Linked DNA regions of Macaca fascicularis. The protein of the gene in region 1 interacts with the protein of each later gene in a pairwise test. Links are inferred from orthologs where the notes say so. Each region holds a gene or a part of one and is shown on either strand. Other genes may lie near its edges.

Region 1 (7,981 bases):
GGAAGTTTATTCTGGTGTCTGTGTGAGCAGGGAGCAGGCTCAATTTTTTCCCAAATAATTAACGCAGGTGTCTCCCCCCTGGCACCGTGGGCATCTTGGGTGGATGATTCTGTCCTGCGCATGGCAGGCAGCTGAGCGGCACCCCTGGCTCCCCCCCATGCACGCCTGAAACACTCTCCGGCTGAGACGACCACACACGTCCCCAGACGCTGCCAAACCGCCCCCAGCTGTAAATCATGGCGGCCACTAAGTGGGAAGAAGAAAGGCTGGAAGTCAGCACGGGTCAGCTTTTTCTGGCCAGATGACTTTGCTGTGAACTTTCTGAAAACCTTCTGTTTGCAGGGTATTCTGGGTGTCAGAACTGCGGTCCGTGGTGGAGGACAGCTCACCTACGGTAAGCACGGCCCCGCCCTGCACGTGACACAGGCCGGGGGTGCTAGGACCTGTGGCTTCTCTGCCATCCCCAAGGTGGGGGACATCATCAAACGGTTCTCAAATCTGCTTCAGCAGCCGGGCTCTCCCGTCAGAAAGTTTTCTGCTCTTCGGAGGGAGGTCCAGCAGGCATGAGGACGCATGTTCCTCAACTGCCGTTTGGCACTCGCTGTCTCTGGGACAACCACAACTTGGAGGGTTTGGCTGCGGGACAGCATTCTCAGAGAAGGCCTGCTGTGTCTCCCAACAGCGACGGCTTTATGGGTGCGCAGGAGCCATGGCCGAGGCCTGGTCTCAAGGCAGAGGCCGCACAAGTGAGGGTGGGAGGAGTGCTGGCCCGTGGGGGTGGCGCCAGCTCCCGCGTAGGGGCCTTCAGTGTCCCTTTCGGCTCTGAGCCGAGGACTCCACATCCCACCTTTTCATTTTATCATTAAAATGAAAACAAAATCAAACCACGGCCCCCTCGGTCAGGGGCGGGGGCTCACGCCTGTAATCCCAGCACTTTGGGAGGCCGAGGCGAGAGAATCGCTCGAGTCCAGGTGTTCGAGACCAGTTTGGGCTATTATACAGTGTACAGTGAGACCCTACAAAAGAGACTCCACCAAAAAAAAAAAAAATTAGCCTGACGTGGCGGCACACATCAGTAGTCCCAGCTGCTTGAGAGGCTGAGGCGAGAAGATCGTTTTGAGCCCAGGAGTTGGAGGCTGCAGTGAGCTGTGACTGGGCTCTGCACTCCAGCCCGGGTGACAAAGTGAGACCCTGTCTCTAAAACCAGACAAAAAACTCACAACCACCTCTCTTCCTTATTTCCCTGCCCAGAATGGATCATTCAATGGAAAAAAACAGAATATCCTCGTAAACTGAGGCCATCTTACCTCCTTACACTCCAGTAGGAAGCGCCCGCTCTTGCCCACCGCCTTCTGTGAGCACTCTGCCCGCCTCCATCCCAAATCCACGTTGCTTCTCACCAACAGCAGGGCAGGAAAGCCAGGTGCCCTGCTCCTCACTCCCTCTCAGGACACCCGAGTTCTAGCTCAGTCCCCTGCCCACTCCCCACATCGAAGTCCACTTTCTTCTAAAATGCCACCAGGAGGTCACTGTACACATAAAAGCCCTCAAGTGCTCCCTGGAACCCCAGGAGTGTGCATAGGAGGCCCCCCCACCAGCTGGGGGTCGTCTGTGGGGCCTACACCAAACCCTGTACGTGCCACTCAAACTCAAGTGCTCACCTCTCCTGCCCAACTCTAGGAGAGAATCTAGTATTCCTGCAAACTCCATCTCTGGCCCAGCATCTCTTACAAGGCTTTCTACCTCTTGACAGACCCAGCTTCCCTTTGAACGCCAGCATCTGGCAGCGTCTAAACCCTATGGACTCAGGAAAGCCTTCGATGGTTGAAAAATTCACAGACACGTGGTCAAGTTCCTTGAAATGGGGAGGCCATTTCTCTCTGGGTTTCTGTTTCCACCTCAGTAAAAGAGAAAACGGGCCAGGTGCAGTGAGGCACGCCTGTAATCACAGAACTCTGGAGGCCAAGGTGGAGGATCGCTTGAACCCAGGAGTTTGAGACCAGCCTGGGTAACACGGTGAAACCCTATCTCTAAAACAACAAAATACTAAAATTAGCCGGGTGTGGTAGTGCACACCTGTAGTCCCAGCTACTCAGGAGGCTGAGGTGGGAGGGCCTGAGCCCGGGAGGTCGAGGCTGCAGTGAGCGGAGATTGCGCCACTACACTCCAGCCTGGGCGACAGAGCAAGACCTTATCTCAAACCACCCCTTTTATGCCTTCGGCCTGTACCGAGCACTTCCTACCAGGGCCACTGTTGGGTCTTGGCAAAAAAACAACCATAGAATTGAGTAAGACTGCCGCTCTCAAGGATCCGTCCAATCTGGGGCAGAGCTCACCCCCATTTGGAATCATTCACCCTTCTAGGAAGATTTAATTATAAACCTCAGCTCAAATCCTTGGCGCGCTTACAGCTTTCCAGGCACCCAGCTAAGTGCTGTACATGCGATAGCTTATTTTAGGGGTCAGCAGAGGTTTTTCTGAAAAGGGCCAGACTGTCTTCAGCTCGGCAGGCGCTAAGGTCCCTACGGCAACTGTTCAACTGTGTCTTCTTAGCTCGAAACCAACCACAGGTAACATGCAAACCAAGGAGTGTGGCTGTGTTCCCACAAACCTTCATTCCCAAAAACAGGCCAGAGGTGGATTTGGCCTTCTGGTTAGCTGATACCTTGCCCGGTTGAATCCTCACACACCTGAGGTGGTTACTTTTATAATCCCCATTCCACAGAAGAAAAACTGAGGCTTGGAAAGATGGGAACCACCCAAGACCACCCAGCTAGGAGGATGCAAATGAGGCGTTCTGAACCCAGGCAGCCTCACTTGAGAAGCTAAACTCCAAAGTGCCCACTTCTCGCCACACAAAATTGGGTGCACACACAAAACTTTGTATACCATTTCCCGGGCCCACACACTCCCAGCTGCCCATGCTGGGGAAGAATCACTGATCTAGGGTAGGTTTTTTTTGTTTTTTGGTTTTTTTTGACAGGGTCTCGCTCTGTCACCCAGGCTGGAGTGCAGTGGCGTGATCTTGGGTCTCTGTAACCTCTGCCTCCTGGGTTCAAGGGATTCTTCTGCCTCAGCCTCCTGAGTAGCTGGGATTACAGGCGCACGCCACCATGCCCAGCTAAGTTTTGTATTTTCAAGAGAGACGGGGTTTCACCACATTGGTCAGGCTGGTCTCGAACTCCTGACCTCAGGTGATCCACCCGTATGGTAGGGTGTGGTTTTTAAAGCGTTATTGACATTCAAAGTTGGATCGTTTTCTGGGGTGGGGCCGTCCTGGGCACTGCAGGGTGCTGAGCAGCAACCCTGGCCTCCACCGACTCCAAACCAGGGGGTCCCCTGAATCGTGAAAAGCACAAATGTCACCAAGAATCTCTGGGGCACAGAATTGTTCCTGGTTGAGAACCACACTGGTCAAGGGAGGGAAAAGGCAGAGAGAACGAATAATCAGAGACAGAAGCAAAAGTAAACGGGACAATGATCCAACCTCTGAGAGGCACATTGCACTGCAATTTTCTGCCACCTAATAACAAAAACAGCTGTTCTCAAGCCAGCTCTCTCTTATCAAGTTCCAGGCACCTGATCAAATCATTGAATGTGGGCTTATCCTCATAATGACCCTCCCAGACATCTGCTTTTACAACTCGTTTACGAAAAAGAAGGTTTGCTCAGAGAGGGAAGGCAACTCATCCAGGTTTACACAGCGGGTGGGTGGTGGTGGTGGGCTGGTTCTGAATCCCAGATTTCCCCCACCTCTAGCACGATATGCAGAAGAAGACTCTAAACATGAAATAAGACGAACGGCTGCTAATTCTTTGGAGTTCTCAGATTCCGCTGGACCCTGCGGCGGCTCTCATTCTCCCAGGCAGGGACTTCTGACAACGCCCGTTTTACAGACGGGAAAACTGAGGCTCCGAGAAGCCAAGAGGCTGGGCAAGGTCACCCAGGTAGGGACTGGCGACGCTGGGACCAGAGCCCCGACTTGAGTCCCCACAAACGGGGGTCCCCGAGTCACAGGGACGACTTTTCCAGGCAGTTAGTAAGAGCGGAACGGCAGCGAACACCCAGCGAGCGCTCAGTACATGCGGGGCGCCTTCCCCTCCAGCCGTCCTCGCCACCAGTCCGCGGACCAGCATTTCCAGGACCTGGGGCCCGGGGAAGGGAGATCAGGGCTCGAAGGGCCTGCCGATGCCGCCCGGCCTCAGTTTCCCCTCCGCTCCGCCTACTCACAGGACCCCGCGGGTCGCGCTGACCCTGGCCTCACGATCCCCAACCTCTTACGGGCTCTGGGGCCCCGTGAGCCCCGAGTCGCAGACCCCACACCCGCCAGGCTCAGCACAGTGCCCCTCACTCACCTCTCAGGCGACCGATCCCCGACCCACCGACGGTTGCGCTTGCGCACCGCGGAGCCGCCCGGCCCCGGCCCCCGGGCGCGACGCCTGCGCAGAAGAAGGGCTCCCCGGGTTGCTTCCCTTCTGCACAGGCGCGTTAATGATCGAGGTGGGCGTGGAAGGAAGTGACGCAACGTAGAGGCGGGAACCAGCTGGTCGTTAGGGCAACTGACCTCTACGACCTAATGGAGGCCGGAAGTCGGGGCTGGTTTGCCCTCTAGGGCGGGAACGAAGCGGTGCACGGTGGAACAGTGGCTGACTCCAGCCGGTCGCCGAGCTGACCACGTGGTGCTGGGCCGGCCACGTGGTGCAGCCGCGTTTGGCCACCTGGACTCCAGAGCGTCATAGCCCCGCAATGAATGGGAGTCAGTGTTGTCCGCTCGCTATCTTTGTTCATTTATTCACCCACCCATCTACTCACCCACAAATGCATTCTTTCATGCAGTCAATTTATGAGACGCTTGTGAGAATAGAAACATTAGTAGGCAGCAGGTGCCTAATATTCCATATTTATTGCAAACCAGTCATAAAAACCAGCAAAGTGTCTACTGTCATTATTTTGCATTGGGGTAGACGAACTATAAACTAATAAACTAGTACATAAGTAGATAAACAAGAAATTTCACAGCTAACACTACAAAAAAAATGAAGGTGGTGTGATTGCCACCGGGAGCTAAGTTGTATGGTATGGGTAGGAAAGATCATCCTTTAGATTTGGATTTCAAGGATAGGAAAAAGTCCAAACGGACCCCAGGCACAGGGAACAGCAAAAATGAAGGCCAATGTAAAAGCTTGGTGTGCTCAAGACATATGGAAAAAAAAATAGAGATGAGAGATGAGAAATTTCCAAGGACGACAGAAAACTGATCACCATCTGAGTTATAATTGACAGAAATGTTCTCCCAATTCATTGTTGTCCTACTCGAAATACATGCACGATTAATGGCGTGGATTATTTTAATTTCTTTTGCAGAAATAAAGAAGGTGAGACCGGGCGCGGTGGCTGACACCTGTAATCCCAGCACTTTGGGAGGCCAAGGGGCAGATCACTTGAGGTCAGAAGTTCGAGACCAGCCTGGCCAACATGCTGAAAACCTGTCTCTACTAAAAATACAAAAACTAGCCGGGCGTGGTGCGGGCATCTGTAGTCCCAGCTACTCGGGAGGTTGAGGCAGGAGAATCGCTTGAACCCGAGAGGCAGAGGTTGCAGTGAGCCGAGATCGCGCCATGGTACTCCAGCCTGGGCGACAGAGTGAGACTCCGTCCAGTCCCTCCAAAACAAAACGAAACAAAAACAAAAAACATAAAAGGAAAGGAGGTCGGTTGCTTCGTTTTTGCCAGTTTAATTGTAGTACATTGTTTTTTCTGGGTGCCATAACAGTTCAAGACAGACGGTTCCAGATGTTTTTTGTTTCAACCCACAACACTGGATGTAGGTCAGGTTACTGCACTGTTCCAAAACACCTGTTATTTGACATGAATCAGTTTACTTGCTTATGTTTCTGACAAAAAATAAACCTTGGCCGGGCGCGGTGGCTCACACCTGTAATCCCAGCACTTTGGGCGGCCGAGGCGGGCGGATCACGAGGTCAAGAGATTAAGACCATCCTGGCCAACATGGTGAAACCCTGTCTCTACTAAAAATACGAAAATTAGCCGAGCGTGGCGGCTCGCGCCTGTAGTCCCAGCTACTCGAGAGGCTGAGGCAGGAGAATTGCTTGAACCCGGGAGGCGGAGGTTGCAGTGAGCCGAGATTGCTGCCACTGCACTCCAGCCTGGGCGACAGAGCGAGACTCCGTCTCAAAAACAACCAAACACCAAAACTTCTGGTTAATGTAATTGATTCGTCTGATTCAGATGCTGGAAAGTGGGCCTGGGATACAGTTAGCGATCGATAATAACACTGGCCCAACACACAGCTATAAGAAGGGAGGCAAGCACACAATAACACGGTAGCCTGAAGCCCAGGCGAAGTTTCCGCGGAAAGAACCGCTCAGACAGAGGCTGAGAGGCGTCAGCGGCGTGCGGTTTCCAAGGAAACCGTCCTTTCTAGCCACCGCAGCGGCTCTGGAGGGGTACCGCAAGAGGCTCCGCCCACGCAACCCCGAGACCAATGACGGACTGGGAGGGTTGAGCGCATGCGCAGAGAGCTCCAGCGTCTCGGCCCGCCTCCTTTAGGTGTGGGCGGGGCTTGGGCACGCGTGCGTCCTGCCCTCCCTGTGCACGCGCCGCCCCAGCATGCCCCGGGTGCGCAGGCGGCGGGTCGCTTGGTCTTCAGGCGGCCGTGGCGGCGGTGGCGGCGGTTGGGCCGAGAGAGGCGGCCTCAGTGGCCGAGGTGGCTGGACGCGTAGCAGGTGGAAGGAGGGAGGGAGCCGCAGGCGCAGACCCACCCGCCATGAAGCCCCCCGCAGGTACCGACTACCCCGCTCGCCGGACCCGGGCTCCCCTGCACCCTCACTCCTCCCGGGGTCGCGACTTGGGCCTAAGGCTGGAGCGGAGTGGTCCCCGAGCCACCCTCGGCCGGGCTGGAGGGGCAGCGGGGGAGGTGGGCGACCCCGCTCTCTCGTTTGCAGAATGAACGAACCAGCTTTTCCAGCGCTTCATTCATTCTGCAAAGTTGATGGCGCTTCCCTTCCGGATGGGTCGGGCCCCGTGGCGAACCCTCGGGAGGCCGTGATTTGAGGACTCCGGTCCCCGTTTTCCCGGAATTCTAGAGCCAGAGACAGACATTCAACAAGTAAATAAGCAAGAGAGGATCGAAGATAGGGAGGGATCGGTGCTCTGGAGTAAATAAACACGAACAGGGCAGTCCCAGGGAGCAAATAAACACGAACGGGGCATTCCCAGAGAGAGGTTGGTCCTGGGGGGCTTTTCTGAAGAGGTGAGCCTTGACTTGCTTGATTGGGAGAAGCAGGTGTCCTGCCAGCACCGGGGAAGGAGGCGTCCCGGGAGGAGGGAACGTGTTTGGAGAGCAGAAAGTCAGTTTGGCTGGAACGTAAAGAGGGGACCTGTTTATTGTGTTATTTATTTACTTTGGGGCCCAGGCTGGAGTGCAGTGGTGCGATCACGACTCCCTGCAGCCTGGAACTCCTGGGCTCAAGCAATCCTCCTGCCTCAGCCTCCTGAGTGGCTGGGACTACAGACCTGCACCACCACGCTTGGCTAATTTTTGTAGAGATGAGGTTTCGCTGTGTTGCCCAGGCTGGTCTTGAAGTCCTGGGTTCAAGCAATCTACCTGCCTCGGCCTCCCAGAGTACTGGGATTGCAGACATGAGCCACTGTAGCCAGCCAAGACCCTTTTAATTTAAAGGCAAAGGGGTGATGTTGTGTTTTTTCTTTACTTGTTTATTTATTTTTTGAGACAGTCTCTCTCTGTCTCCCAGGCCGGGGTGTAGTGGTCGATTTCTGCCCACAGAGGCTCTCTGCAACCTCTGCCTCTGGGGTTCAAGCGATTCTCCTGCTTCAGCCTCCCAAGTAGTTGGGATTTCAGGCACGCACCACCACACCCGGCTAATTTTTGTATTATTGGTAGAGATGGGGTTTCACCATCTTAACCAGACTGGTTTTGAACTTCTGACCTCAAGTGATCC
Region 2 (7,283 bases), on another chromosome or scaffold:
CAGGATGGTCTCGATCTCCTGACCTCGTGATCCACCTGCCTCGGGCTCCCAAAGTGCTGGGATTACAGGCGTGAACCACTGCATCCGGCCCATAGTATTATTATGTCAGATTGAAATACATGTATACAGACATTGTCTAAACATCAATGCCAAAATTAAAAAGGAACCTAAAGGACTTTAGAGCACATCTGTTTCATATTTCAGAGAGGAAGGGGAATCTCAGAGGTCAAGAGACCATATTCAGTTATGTGCATAATTAAGTAAAGGAAAAATGTACTTGAATTCAACAAATGTGTTTGAATTCTACATTTATCTAAGACAGGGTCCTGACTTGAAGCTATGAATAAAAGGATATTTCATGAATTTGACTTTGAAAACGTGAATGAGAATAATTGTGTAAGTGCAGGTTTGTAGCTGCACCGTGTGGTCCCAGAATCCCTGGTCACTGCTTCTTTTTTTTTTTTTTTTTTTTTTTTTGAGACAGAGTCTCGCTCTGTCACCCAGGCTGGAGTGCAGTGGCCGGATCTCAGCTCACTACAAGCTCTGCCTCCCAGGTTTACGCCATTCTCCTGCCTCAGCCTCCCAAATAGCTGGGACTACAGGCGCCCGCCACCTCGCCCGGCTAGTTTTTTGTATTTTTAGTAGAGACGGGGTTTCACCGTGTTAGCCAGGCTGGTCTCGATCTCCTGACCTCGTGATCCGCCTGTCTCGGCCTCCCAAAGTGCTGGGATTACAGGCTTGAGCCACCGTGCCCGGCCGTCACTGCTGCTTAATTTGACCTTTGTGGGTCCCTCCCGTGAACCCTGATGCATCTCCCCCATATTACTTAATTAGCCTCTTTGCTCCTCCCTCCCTCCACCCAGCACACACTACCTTTTCTTTGTCCGTCTGTCGAGTAGAATATTCTAGTGAGGTGATCTGAACCCACTTCTAGTGCCAGCTTCACCTTAGAACCAGTTGTGTGATTTTTTTTTTTTTTTTTTTTTTTTAGATTGAGTCTCGCTGTGTTGCCCAGGCTGGAGGGCAGTGGCACGATCTCGGCTCACTGCAACCTCTGCCTCCCTGGTTCAAGCGATTCTTCTGCCTCAGCCTCCCAAGTAACGGACTACAGGCGTGCCACCACGCCCGGCTAATTTTTGTATTATTGGTAGAGACGGGGGTTTCACCATATTGGCCAGGCTGGTCTCGAACTCCTGACCTCATAACCTGCCCACCTCGGCCTCCCAAAGTGCTGGGTTTACAGGCCTGAGCCACCGGGCCTGGCCCCAGCTGTATGACATTAGGCACATTTACTTCTTGTACTCTTAATTCCTCATGTAAACACGGGATAATAATACACGCCTTGCCAATCTGTCATGCTTGTTTCCAGGATCAAATGATGCAGCGTGTCATAATGTATGCAAAAACACTTTAAAAAGCACCACATGCTCCACAAATGTCGAGTATTATTATTATCCTCATTATGGCTCTGCCCTTCCCTTCCATCCCTTGCCTCCAGCCCTGCTGGCTTCCTTCCAGGATTGTCTTGACAAGTGGCTGCAATCATTTGTTGAGAAGCTTTCTCTGAATGGTGAAATGTCATTCTGGAAGCTGCCCTTGGACTAGTAGAAATCTAATTAGATTATTGGGAGTCACAGGGAGAAAAATTAGAAGCAAAAGAAGCTGCATTTGAGAGATTTCCATTGATAAAAGAAGTATTAGCCTGCAATTGTAGCAAAAAGCACTTAAAGAAGACATTTAGGATCATGGTGACAAAGTGTGAGAGTCAGGAGGAGCATGAGTCTGGAATCCCTTCCGCTTAGGGTCTGTGAGTGGAGAAGCCCTGTCTGCTGGGTCTGTGCCTCCCTCTTCCTGGCATTTCTCTGCTCACTCCTGACAGGGCCCACCTCTTTCTTTCTCCTCAGGCTCCCTGGCATTGGGCAGTGTTACAGTGCACTCTTCTGAACCTGAAGTCAGAATTCCTGAGAATAATCGTGAGTTGGGAGGGGCTGTGGAGGGTGGCTCTCGAGGGTGTGAGGGTGAGTAGTTGCCGGCCGTCTGGGGACCTAGAGAGCACCCAGCCCAGCCTGCAGTTTAGGGCTGTTCCCCATCTCGTGTATTTGCTGCTGATTCCTCCTCTGGCTCATTTTGACCCTGTCTGCAGCTGTGAAGTTGTCCTGTGCCTACTCGGGCTTTTCTTCTCCCCGTGTGGAGTGGAAGTTTGACCAAGGAGACACCACCAAACTCGTCTGCTATAATAACAAGATCACAGGTGAGTTGCTTCTCCTCCTTCCTGATTGCCTAGGTTGTGGAGGGGTTATCATGCCTGGATTCTACGATCCAGGCTTTGTGCCCTTATCCCAGGGCATACCCTGGGGCTCAAGTCCTCATGGCCTTCCCACTCCCCTTTCTGGGGGAAGAGGAGAGCACTTGCGTACCTTGGATGCCCCCTTCATCAGCTTCCCTTAGCTCTCCAGTTCACTCTGTCCTCGCCCTTGCCTCCTCTTGTGGTAGCTTCCTATGAGGACCGAGTGACCTTCTTGCCAAGTGGTATCACCTTCAAGTCTGTGACACGGGAGGACACCGGGACATATACTTGTATGGTCTCTGAGGAAGGCGGCAACAACTATGGGGAGGTCAAGGTCAAGCTCATCGTGCTTGGTATGTGCCACATATCTTCTGGGTGGGCCTGGAGTTAGTTACTTCCCATAGCAGGCTCTGCTGAGCTTTGGAGCTCTTTGATGGTGAGAATGCCCACAGGTGGGGCTATTCAGAGTCCTGGAGCTGCCAGAGAGGGGATAAGCCCTGGTTAGGTGGCAACCAGGGGCATGGTGAGGGTGGGAGGCTTGAGCTGAGTAGATGGGGGTACCATTCTAGTTGGTTACTTAGACTCAAGCAGCCCCCACCCTGTACTCAGCACCTTCTGTCTTTCTCTTCCACAGTGCCTCCATCCAAGCCTACAGTTAGCATCCCCTCCTCTGCCACCATTGGGAACCGGGCAGTGCTGACATGCTCAGAAAAAGATGGTTCCCCACCTTCTGAATACACCTGGTTCAAAGATGGGATTGTGATGCCTACGAATCCCAAGAGTACCCGTGCCTTCAGCAACTCTTCCTATGTCCTGAATCCCACAACAGGAGAGCTGGTATGGATGGGGTGGTGGTGAAAGATGTGTGGGGCATGCAGTTATAGAACCCCAAAAAGTGGGAGGAAGAACAGGCAGCAGGGTGAACTTGGGTTTGGCGTCAGGAGACATTAAAAAATGGCTATTTTGCTTCTTCAAGCAGGAAGCCAATTTGTTTTCCTCCCTCAGGTCTTTGATCCCCTGTCAGCCTCTGATACTGGAGAATATAGCTGTGAGGCACGGAATGGGTATGGGACACCCATGACATCAAATGCTGTGCGCATGGAAGCTGGTGAGAGTTAGGGCTTGAGCCCAGACCTGGGGTGGGGATCGGCGTCTGCTTTTCATCCTGCCATTGGTGATCCTGTTGGTACCGTGAGTGAGTATCCTGGTGCTTGACTTCTCATTTGTGTCTCACAGTGGAGCGGAATGTGGGGGTCATCGTGGCAGCTGTCCTTGTAACCCTGATTCTCCTGGGAATCTTGATTTTTGGCATCTGGTTTGCCTATAGCCGAGGCCACTTTGACAGTAAGTATCTGCCCCCAGAGGCTCTCCTTTGTACTGCCCCCATCCCAGGGCCTGGCATGGGTGTCATCTGAGTACTGACCCTGATACTGTGCTCATGTGTGTGGGTGTTGTCCCCTGGGGAACACTGATCACCCATCGAACACACACCTTGGGAAGATGAGGCCTGCCCCTCCATCTTCCCAAGCCATGCTGTCTTCTGTCCTGCTGTCACTCATGATCCCATTTCTTCTCTTTCAGGAACAAAGAAAGGGTGAGTGAGGTGCTGTCCTGGGGTTCTCCAAGTTTGAGAGCAGGGATGCATGCCGTTTGAAGCTGAAGTGGGCCCGGGGGAATGGGTTGAAGGCAGAAGCAACCAGTTTGGAGGGAAGGCATCTGGATATCCAGCCCTTTCTCTGTGCCCTCGGCCCTGGGCCTGTCCTGTTTCCCCCCACCCATGCCTTTCTGCTGCGCACTCTGTGCTTCTGTAGCATTCTCGGTTCTGGCCTTTAAAGTTGGCAAGGAGAGGTAATAAGCACCTAGGTGGCTGAGTGTCTCTGTCTTCTGGCTTGTTCACAGGACTTCGAGTAAGAAGGTGATTTACAGCCAGCCTAGTGCTCGAAGTGAAGTGAGTATGCCTGCCCTGGGCAGGGGTGGGCTACCTGGGGCTGGAGTGAGGAGATTTCTAGCCCATGTTTATGTGTTTTGGGGATTATCAGCTAAAGAAGACTATTGAGAGTTGACCGGATGTTTTATTTCTGCAGGGGGAATTCAAACAGACCTCGTCATTCCTGGTGTGAGCCTGGTCGGGCTCACCGCCTGTCATCTGCACTTGCCTCACTCAGGTGCTACCGGACTCTGGCCCCTGATGTCTGTAGTTTCACAGGATGCCTTATTTGTCTTCTACACCCCACACGGCCCCCTACTTCTTAGGATGTGTTTTTAATAATGTCAACTATGTGCCCCTTCCTCCTTCATTCTCTCCCTTCCTTTCCTACCACTGCTGAGTGGCCTGGAACTTGTTTAAAGTGTTTATTCCCCATTTCTATGAGGGATCAGGTAGGAATCCTGGGTATGCCATTGACTTCCCTTCTAAACAGACAGCAAAAATGGTGGGGCTCCCAGGAATCTGCTCTCAACTGCCCACCTGGCCGGCAGGGATCTTTAAATAGGGATCTTGAGCTTGGTTCTGGGCTCTTTCCTTGTGTACCGAGGACCGGGGCCAGCTGTTCTAGAGTAGGGATTAGAGGCTAGAGCAGCTGAAATGGTTGTTTGGTGATGACACTGGGGTCCTTCCATCTCTGGGGCCCACTCTGTTCTGTCTTCCCATGGGAAGTCCCTCTGCCCTGTCCTCCTCTTGAATACAAGCCGCCTGACATTGACTGTGTCTGTGGAAAATGGGAGCTCTTGTTGTGGAGAGCATAGTAAATTTTCAGAGAACGTGAAGTGAAAAATATTTAAAACCACTGCTCTAAAGAAAAGAAAACTGGAGGCTGGGCGTGGTGGCTCACGCCTATAATCCCAGAGGCCGAGGCAGGTGGATCATCTGGGGTCAGGAGTTCAAAATCAGTCTAACCAACATGGAGAAACCCTACTAAAAATACAAAATGAGCCAGGCATGGTGGTACATGCCTGTAATCCCAGCTGCTCGGGAGCCTGGTAACAAAAGCGAAACTCTATCTCAAAAAAAAAAAAAGGGAAAGAGAATAGAAAAGAAAGCTGGAGCTGGTGGCTCAGGCCATCACCCTTCCCTTGGCTGGAACTATTGGACAGACCCTTTTGAGATGTGCTCGTGGTGCTATGGAGATGTGTGTAGTGGTCTTAGCTCTTTGTTGAGCCTGTGTGTGTGTTGTGCGGTCTTAGCTGTATGCTGAAATTGGGCGTGTGTTGGAGGGCTTCTTAGCTCTTTGGTTAGATTGTATTTCTGTGTGTTTCTATCAGCTGGATGTTGCTGGAAATAAAACCTTGGTTTGTCAAGGCTCTTTTTGTGGGAAGTAAGCAGGGGAAAAAGTCTTTGAGGGTTCCTGGGCTCCTTTGTACAACAGGAAAATGCCTCCAAGCCTTGCTTCCCAGCAACCTGGGGCTGGTTCCCAGTGCCTGGTCCTGCCCCTTCCGGGTTCTTATCTCAAGGCAGAGCTTCTGAATTTCAGGCCCTCATTCCAGAGCCCTCTTGTGGCCAGGCCTTCCTTTGCTGGAGGAAGGTACTCAGGGTGAAGCTGATGCTGTACTTGGGGGATCTCCTTGGCCTGTTCCACCAAGTGAGAGGAGAAAGTACTTACTCTTGTACCTCCTGTCCAGCCAGGTACATTAACAGACCTCCCTATGGCTGTAGGAACTACTGTCCCAGAGCTGAGGCGGGGGGATTTCTCAGGTCATTTGGAGAACAAGTGCTTTAGTAGTAAAGTAGTAACTGCTACTATATTTAGTGGGGTGGAGTTCAGAAGAAATTTGAAGACCAGATCATGGGTGGTCTGCATGTGAATAAACGCGAATGAGCAGGACAGGCCTGGCTATCATTGCTTTCCTCCTCCCCATTTGGACCCTTTGCCCTTACATTTTTGTTTCTGCATCTACCACCATCCCACCAGTCTATTAACTTAGCAAGAGGACAAATAAAGGGCCCTCTTGGCTTGATTTTGCTTCTTTCTTTCTGTGGAGGATATACTGAGTGCCACTTTGCCCTATCCTATTTGGAAATCCCTAACAACTGAGTTTTCTATTAAGGATCCAAAAAGAAAAACAAAATGCTAATGAAGCCATTGGTTAAGGGTCACATGCCAATAAAAAATAAATTTTCCAGAAGAAATGAAATCCAACTAGACAAAGTAGAGCTTATGAAATGGTTCAGTAAGGATGATTTTTTTTTTTTTTTTTTTTTTTAAGACGGAGTCTCACTCTGTCACCCAGGCTGGAGTGCAGTGGTGTGATCACCCATCTTCCAGGTTCAAGCCATTCTCCTGCCTCAGTCTCCTGAGTAGCTGAGACTACAGGCGCATGCCACCATGCCTGGCTAATTTTTGTATTTTTAGTAGAGACAGGGTTTCACCATGTTGGTCCAGCTGGTCTCAAACTCCTGACCTCTTGATCTACCTGCCTCGGCCTCCCAAAGTGGTGGGATTACAGGTGTGAGCCACCGTGCATAGCCAAGGATGAGATTTTTAAAGTATGTTTCAGTTCTGTGTCATGGTTGGAAGAGACAGTAGAAGGGATATGGAAAAGGTCATGGGGAAGCAGAGGTGATTCATGGCTCTGTGAATTTGAGGTGAATGGTTCCTTGTTGTCTAGGTCACTTGTGAAGAATATGAGTCAGTTATTACCAGCCTTGGAATTTACTTCTATAGCTTACAACAGACCTTTTGAACTGGAAAACACCTTGTCTGCATTCACTTTAAAATGTCAAAACTGATTTTTGTAATAAATGTTTATTTTTCACATTGAGTTTGTTTAAATCCTGAAGTTCTTCCTTAAGAGAATTGGGACTCCTAGAGTGATTGGACATTCGAAATATTCCTGATAGTCTTGTTAATGAAGAGATTAGGATATCTTTCCATTACCTTGATAATTACATTTTAATTTAGCTTTTTTCATTGGCCTGTGTTTGAATGCAAATAACCCCAAAATGGACATTTCCTATGTTAAAGTGACATTTAGGGGATAGAAAATGAGAGCAGTTCCA
Region 3 (6,364 bases), on another chromosome or scaffold:
TTATACGAAGCTGTGTGACTTTTTTTCCATTAGTCCACATATTGATCTAAAAGCAGAAAATTCCAGCTTTTGCTTTATTTAGTGGATTGCTAAGTTTAAAATTCACATCAGATATTAGTCAGAACTGTTTGTATGACCATAATATTCACAATATCGTCTGAGATATTAGCTGAGAAGCCCATTGTGAAAAGAAAGTCTATGTGTGCTGTTTGTATCTATTGTGATTGTCAGCTGATGTTAGATCACATTTTCCAACCAAACATAAGACCAACCAAACTCTTTATTATAATTATTTGACCAGCACTAAAGATGTACCTACCCCTCCACAACAGATGAAACCGTGCCAACCAAACAACAAATGGGCATTGTCCCCAGCAGCTTGGACAAAAAGGCACACAGAGTTCAATTCCAGTTGAACAGAATAAAGGCCAAAATAAGAGTTGCCTTGGGGGTCACTGCAATTAGATTTCTTAATGAAGACATTAAAAGAAGTATTCTGTGTGTGTTTGTGTGTGGGGGTGTGTGTGTCTGTTTTCCAACTGATTTGAAAACACAGATGTTGACTCCTAATAATAAAGCAGAAAAATTAACATCTCCAGAGAAGATAGAGGTCATACTATTTCAGGCAAGAATTAGTGCCTTTTTAATAAATGAAAACATGGCAAAGATGCATTTTAGAAGGCACGTGGAGTCATAACAATTTAAGAAATCTAGAAGGCTCAAGGCCCAGCCTTCTAGAATCCCAGAAACTTAAAGCTAGTAAAAAATTGGGGAAGTCTCTAAGGATATATGCCTGAAAATACACACTGGTTATCTGTGAGTGTTAGGATTACTGGGTGGTTTTTAGTCTATTCATTTTGCTTACCTTTATTTTTTTCACATTAGGTTTTAAAAATTATAAATTTAATTTATAAATCCATTCTCTCCAAGCCTGTATTACATGTGTCATGAGAATAGATAGATAGATATGAAAAAGTGAAGAGAAAAACTCTGAACGCATCTAGTCCCATTGTTTCTGCATCTTCTTTTTTTTTTCTGGGACAGAGTCTCGCTCTGTCACTCTGTCGCCCAGGCTGGAGTGCAGTGGCGCAATCTCAGCTCACTATAAACTCCACCTCCTGGGTTCACGCCATTCTCCTGCCTCAGCCTCCCGAGTAGCCGGGACTACAGGTGCCCGCCACCACGTCCAGCTAATTTTTTATATTTTTAGTAGAGACGGGGTTTCACCTTGTTAGCCAGGATGGTCTCGATCTCCTGACCTTGTGATCCGCCGGCCTCAGCCTCCCAAAGTGCTGGGATTACAGGCGTGAGCCACCGCGCCCAGCTGTTTTTGCATCTTCTTAAAGCAAGGAACCCCTTCTTTCAGCAAAACCTTTCAGAGAAGCCCAGTATGAAGCCCCTCTGGTTAGAGCCAGCCATGAGAGAAACTCTAGTACTTCTGACTGGTTTTCTCTCTACCCATCTACCCCTTAGGTGGCTGCAGAAGGGACTCTGTACAACCCCCAGAGTTATTCTGAATGACAGGGACATGTAATGATTGGCCCTGAATGATTCAGCAGATCAGATGACACTTACACAGAGCAATTTCCACTCCTCTGCAGTAGCATATTATCAGTATTTTCCAGATAAATAACTTGGCTAAAGAAAAATCCATTTCATTTACATCTTTGGCACCTTAGAGCTATAGAACTTTTGTGCAATGATTTTAATATTATATTTCTGCATTGTCTGGTAAGATAGCTGCCAGATACATATGGCTATGGAGTACTCAAAATGTAGCCTAGTGCAACTGAGGAACTGAATTTTTATCTTATTTCTTCGTTTTTTTTTCTTTTGAGATGGAGTCTCGCTCTGTCGCCCAGGCTGGAGTGCAGTGGCACGATCTCGGCTCACTGCAAGATCTGCCACCTGGGTTTACGCCATTCTCCTGCCTCAGCCTCCCGAGTAGCTGAGACTACAGGTGCCGGCCACCATGCCCGGCTAATTTTTTTTTTTTTTTTTTTTTTTTGGTATTTTTAGTAGAAAGGGGGTTTCACTGTGTTAGCCAGGATGGTCTCGATCTCCTGACCTCATTATCTGCCTGCCTCAGCCTCCCAAGATTTCAGGCGTGAGCCACTGTGCCCGGCCATTTCATTTTAATTAACTTAAATGTAAATAGCCCCATGTGGTTAGAGTATACTGTATTAGACAGCACAGCCTTAGAGAGTTCCTTCTTGTTCCATGGACTGGACACAGTGAAGATCAACAGTAATTAAAGGCACGTCTGGTTTAGATGTGCTTTATCTGAGAGGAAAATTCAGCCAGCAAACATACAAAAAGAAAGCATAGTGTGAAGTTCAGGGTTAAGAGCTAGTTTGCCTGCGTTTGAATCCTGCCTGGCTCTGCCATTTCCTACCACTTAACTGCATTGTGGCTGATTGTAAGGTGGGAATATTAATGATACCCATCTCATAGGGGAATGAGAGGATCAAATGAGTTCATATTTGTAAAGCATTTTGAAAGAGTGCCTAGCCCACACTAAGTGCTACATAAGAGTGTATTAAATGAATCTGCAAGAAAAAAAAAATTACAAAAAGGTACCTAAGGGTCTGAGTGACTATATGCATGCATATTATGCTTATCCATCAAGACTGGTGAAGAATGGTTGTTTCTTCCATTCATCCCTACGTTTCTTTTTTTAATAATGATAAACATGCAACTTTTTTATAGCTTTACAACAAATACCCAGATGCTGTGGCCACATGGTTAAAGCCTGACCCATCTCAGAAGCAGAATCTCCTAGCCCCACAGGTATTTTTAAACTTCTCATAATTCAACTACAACGATGAAAGATAGCTACAAGCAGGCCATTTGGGCTGCTCAGATGAATCCTGCCTGCCCGCCGGCAAGCATGTGCTTAGGACATTGACTGATCTGCCATGTTGGCTTCTTCCCGTGTTAAGCCATCCACAGATGAGGCAGAAAAATAAAAACTGCTTTGGATTAAAAAGGTTAACTTTTGAATAAAAAAGCTAGGTATGTGTGATGCACACTAACATGTGCCATTCCTTCTTCAGAATGCTGTGTCTTCCGAAGAAACCAATGACTTTAAACAAGAGGTAAGTTCTCATTTTCAATCAGAGGCCCATCATACCTTGAAGAAACGAAAGAAGCCATTGCCTGGATTCTCTTCTGATGAAATTTCATTAGCTAATTTTCCAGTAAATTGGCAGTCTTTAAAACTTGCTCAGAAAGAAAACATGTATTTACTAAATATCAGAAATACTAGGTTTCCTCAGATATGTTTAGCATTACAGAAAATGTTCATTAATGCCTGTTATTTGAAACATTAAGCTGATTGCAATTTATTTAAGGTATTTTGTAGATATCAAATATCTAATAAGCATCTAATTAATGCCTATCAAAGCTAAGATTTTGCCTTTAGGAAAGTTCTCTTTCCTAAAAAAATAGTTTATTTGACAACTATTCTTTTTATTAGGATCATTCATATATTTGCTAAGCAAAGAGTAAATTTATTTTCCTTAAGATTCAATTTGAATATACTAAGAATATTAAATCAAGTTAAATTACCCAATATATTTGTCAATCTGAAATTTAATGGACATTAATTGTTTAATTCAAGGACAGTTTTGAGCTGCAGTTTATACACACATGCATAACAGTCACCTTTCAATTATCCATGCTAATAGGAAAGGGGTTATAGATTTTAGTACACACATTAAAATAGGGATACTCTTCTCTTTTGATAAATCTCATTTCAAATTTTAAAAAGTCTCATAATTATGTGTCTGTAACTATTACATCATTGAATTTAGTAAATTAAATAATGTTTAATATGTATAAGGCAAAACAATGCTATTGATATGAAGATTATACTCACATATTTGGCTTGAAAATATCTATGAAAATAATTTTTGTTGGAAAGTAGGAAAAGTTCCTCAGAATGTTATTAATCCCTGTGTTAAAAGAGAAATTGGAAGATGCTCACTTTAGCTCCTAAAAGCCATGGTATATACTGTGAATGCAAAGATTCTGAAACTAAATAAAAAGAAAGATAGTAAAAGACTAATGTGCTATGAAGACTAAGGGAAAATAAAAACCCACACACTAATTTTCCTGGCCATTTTAATTTTCAGACCCTTCCAAGTAAGTCTAACGAAAGCCATGACCACATGGATGATGTGGATGATGAAGATGATGATGACCATGTGGACAGCCAGGACTCCATCGACTCGAATGACTCTGATGAAGTAGATGACACTGATGATTCTCACCAGTCTGATGAGTCTCACCATTCTGATGAATCCGATGAACTGGTTACTGATTTTCCCACAGACCTGCCAGCAACTGAAGTTTTCACTCCAGTTGTCCCCACAGTAGACATATATGATGGCCGAGGTGATAGTGTGGCTTATGGACTGAGGTCAAAATCTAAGAAGTTCCGCAGACCTGACATCCAGGTAAATCCTTTAACAGACACACCTGATAGTTCTGACTAGAGCTCAAGTCTAGGAAACCACAGTTTGCATATTCATTCATTCATTCATTCATTCATTCATTCATCCATTCATCCATTCATTCATCCATTCAGCAAGAATTCATTCATATTCTACTTTATGATCATTGAATACAAATCTTTTTCTGCTCGGTGGTTTTTGTAAGTACATAATTTCTCTCTAGATTTGATTCTCAAACACAATTCTACTTTTTGAAATCCTGGATCACTTATTTTTAGATTAAAATGAATGGAAAACACCAATTATTTAAAAAAAATATAATGGTCATGTTTCGAAGTTAAATACCTAAGAGGAGTTGTAGTTGCAAATTACACTGAATCCTTAGTCACAGAACCTGGATTTGACATAGGCTTGCCATTTACTATTCTCTTTATTTTTTAACTTCCAATTCACTTCCTCTTTATGTAGGTTTCAATATAATGAAACCTACCTGATAAGTTTCATTACATATGTAAGTGATGTACTTATTAAACTAAAGGAGACGACATATGTGAAACGGCTTGGTAAAGTACTATACAAAGTAACATGCTAGTATAATTTCAGCCAGATTTAGCCAATTTTTAGTATAAGATGGCCTAAAAGCTAGAGAGCAGAAAAGGATTACCGTATTCCCATCCCTAGCTGTTCATATAATTCTTCTTCATTTGTGCCATGATTCAGTACCCTGATGCTACAGACGAGGACATCACCTCACATGTGGAAAGCGAGGAGTTGAATGGTGCATACAAGGCCATCCCAGTTGTCCAGGGCCTGAACGTGCCTTCTGATTGGGACAGCCGTGGGAAGGACAGTCATGAAATGAGTCAGCTGGATGACCACAGTGCTGAAACCCACAGCCACAAGCACTCCAGATTATATAAGCGGAAAGCCAGTGATGACAGCAATGAGCATTCCGATGTGATTGACAGTCAGGAACGTTCCAAAATCAGCCATGAATTCCACAGCCATGAATTTCACAGCCATGAAGACATGCTGGTTGTAGACCCTAAAAGTAAGGAAGAAGATAAACACCTGAAATTTCGCATTTCTCATGAATTAGATAGTGCATCTTCTGAGGTCAATTAAAAGGAGAAAAAAATATAATTTCTCACTTTGCTTTTAGTCAAAAGAAAAAATGCTTTATAGCAAAATGAAAGAGAACATGAAATGCTTCTTTCTCAGTTTATTGGTTGAATGTGTACCTATGTGAATCTGGAAATAACTAATGTGTTTGATAATTAGTTTAGTTCGTGGCTTCATGGAAACTCCCTGTAAACTAAAAGCTTCAGGGTTATGTCTATGTTCATTCTATAGAAGAAATGCAAACTATCACTGTATTTTAATATTTGTTATTCTTTCATGAATAGAAATTTATGTAGAAGCAAACAAAATACTTTTACCCACTTAAAAAGAGAATATAACATTTTATGTCACTATAATCTTCTGTTTTTTAAGTTAGTGTATATTTTGTTGTGACTATCTTTCTTTTGTGGTGTGAATAAATCTTTTATCTTGAATGTAATAAGAATCTGGTGGTGTCAATTGCTTACTTGTTTTCCCACAGTTGTCCAGCAATTAATAAAACATGATCTTTTTTACTGCCTATATAATGTTTTTAAAGGTTTACTTTGGTTTTAATTGATACATAATAATTGTACATATTTATGGGATACTGTGTGATGTTTTGATACATACATACATTGTGTAATTATCATATCCATCACCTCATACACTTGTCATTTATTTGTGGTGAGAACATTCAGTCTTCTTTTCTAGCTATTTTGAAGTATACGATACATTATTACTGACTATAGTCAAGCTACGTTGCAATAGAATACTAGAATTTATTCCTCCTAGCTAACTGTAAC

Evidence for each region. The genes of interacting proteins can lie anywhere in the genome.
Region 2: the proteins of SGTA (region 1) and F11R interact in binary tests that used the Homo sapiens proteins (3 or more experiments, as listed by UniProt). The two-hybrid records come from large-scale screens. The link is inferred for Macaca fascicularis from reciprocal best matches to the Homo sapiens genes SGTA and F11R.
Region 3: the proteins of SGTA (region 1) and SPP1 interact in binary tests that used the Homo sapiens proteins (3 or more experiments, as listed by UniProt). The link is inferred for Macaca fascicularis from reciprocal best matches to the Homo sapiens genes SGTA and SPP1.

What each region holds. Positions count from the first base shown.
Region 1 is NC_088393.1:3,462,205-3,470,185, forward strand, and holds the start of SGTA (small glutamine-rich tetratricopeptide repeat-containing protein alpha), read right to left. Parts: upstream 4,397-7,981; 5' UTR 4,356-4,396; intron 1-4,355. Other genes in the region: THOP1 (thimet oligopeptidase), read left to right, coding at 6,787-6,802. UniProt on the Homo sapiens protein: Co-chaperone that binds misfolded and hydrophobic patches-containing client proteins in the cytosol. Mediates their targeting to the endoplasmic reticulum but also regulates their sorting to the proteasome when targeting fails.
Region 2 is NC_088375.1:100,071,170-100,078,452, forward strand, and holds the end of F11R (junctional adhesion molecule A), read left to right. Parts: intron 1-991; exon of another isoform or gene 992-1,097; intron 1,098-1,904; coding exon 1,905-1,973; intron 1,974-2,143; coding exon 2,144-2,251; intron 2,252-2,493; coding exon 2,494-2,640; intron 2,641-2,921; coding exon 2,922-3,124; intron 3,125-3,292; coding exon 3,293-3,395; intron 3,396-3,523; coding exon 3,524-3,631; intron 3,632-3,868; coding exon 3,869-3,881; coding exon of another isoform or gene 3,882-3,885; exon of another isoform or gene 3,886-4,186; coding exon 4,187-4,235; intron 4,236-4,371; coding exon 4,372-4,407; 3' UTR 4,408-7,045; downstream 7,046-7,283. UniProt on the Homo sapiens protein: Seems to play a role in epithelial tight junction formation. Appears early in primordial forms of cell junctions and recruits PARD3.
Region 3 is NC_088379.1:93,533,426-93,539,789, forward strand, and holds the end of SPP1 (osteopontin), read left to right. Parts: intron 1-2,709; coding exon 2,710-2,790; intron 2,791-3,056; coding exon 3,057-3,098; intron 3,099-4,136; coding exon 4,137-4,460; intron 4,461-5,177; coding exon 5,178-5,582; 3' UTR 5,583-6,024; downstream 6,025-6,364. UniProt on the Homo sapiens protein: Major non-collagenous bone protein that binds tightly to hydroxyapatite. Appears to form an integral part of the mineralized matrix. Probably important to cell-matrix interaction.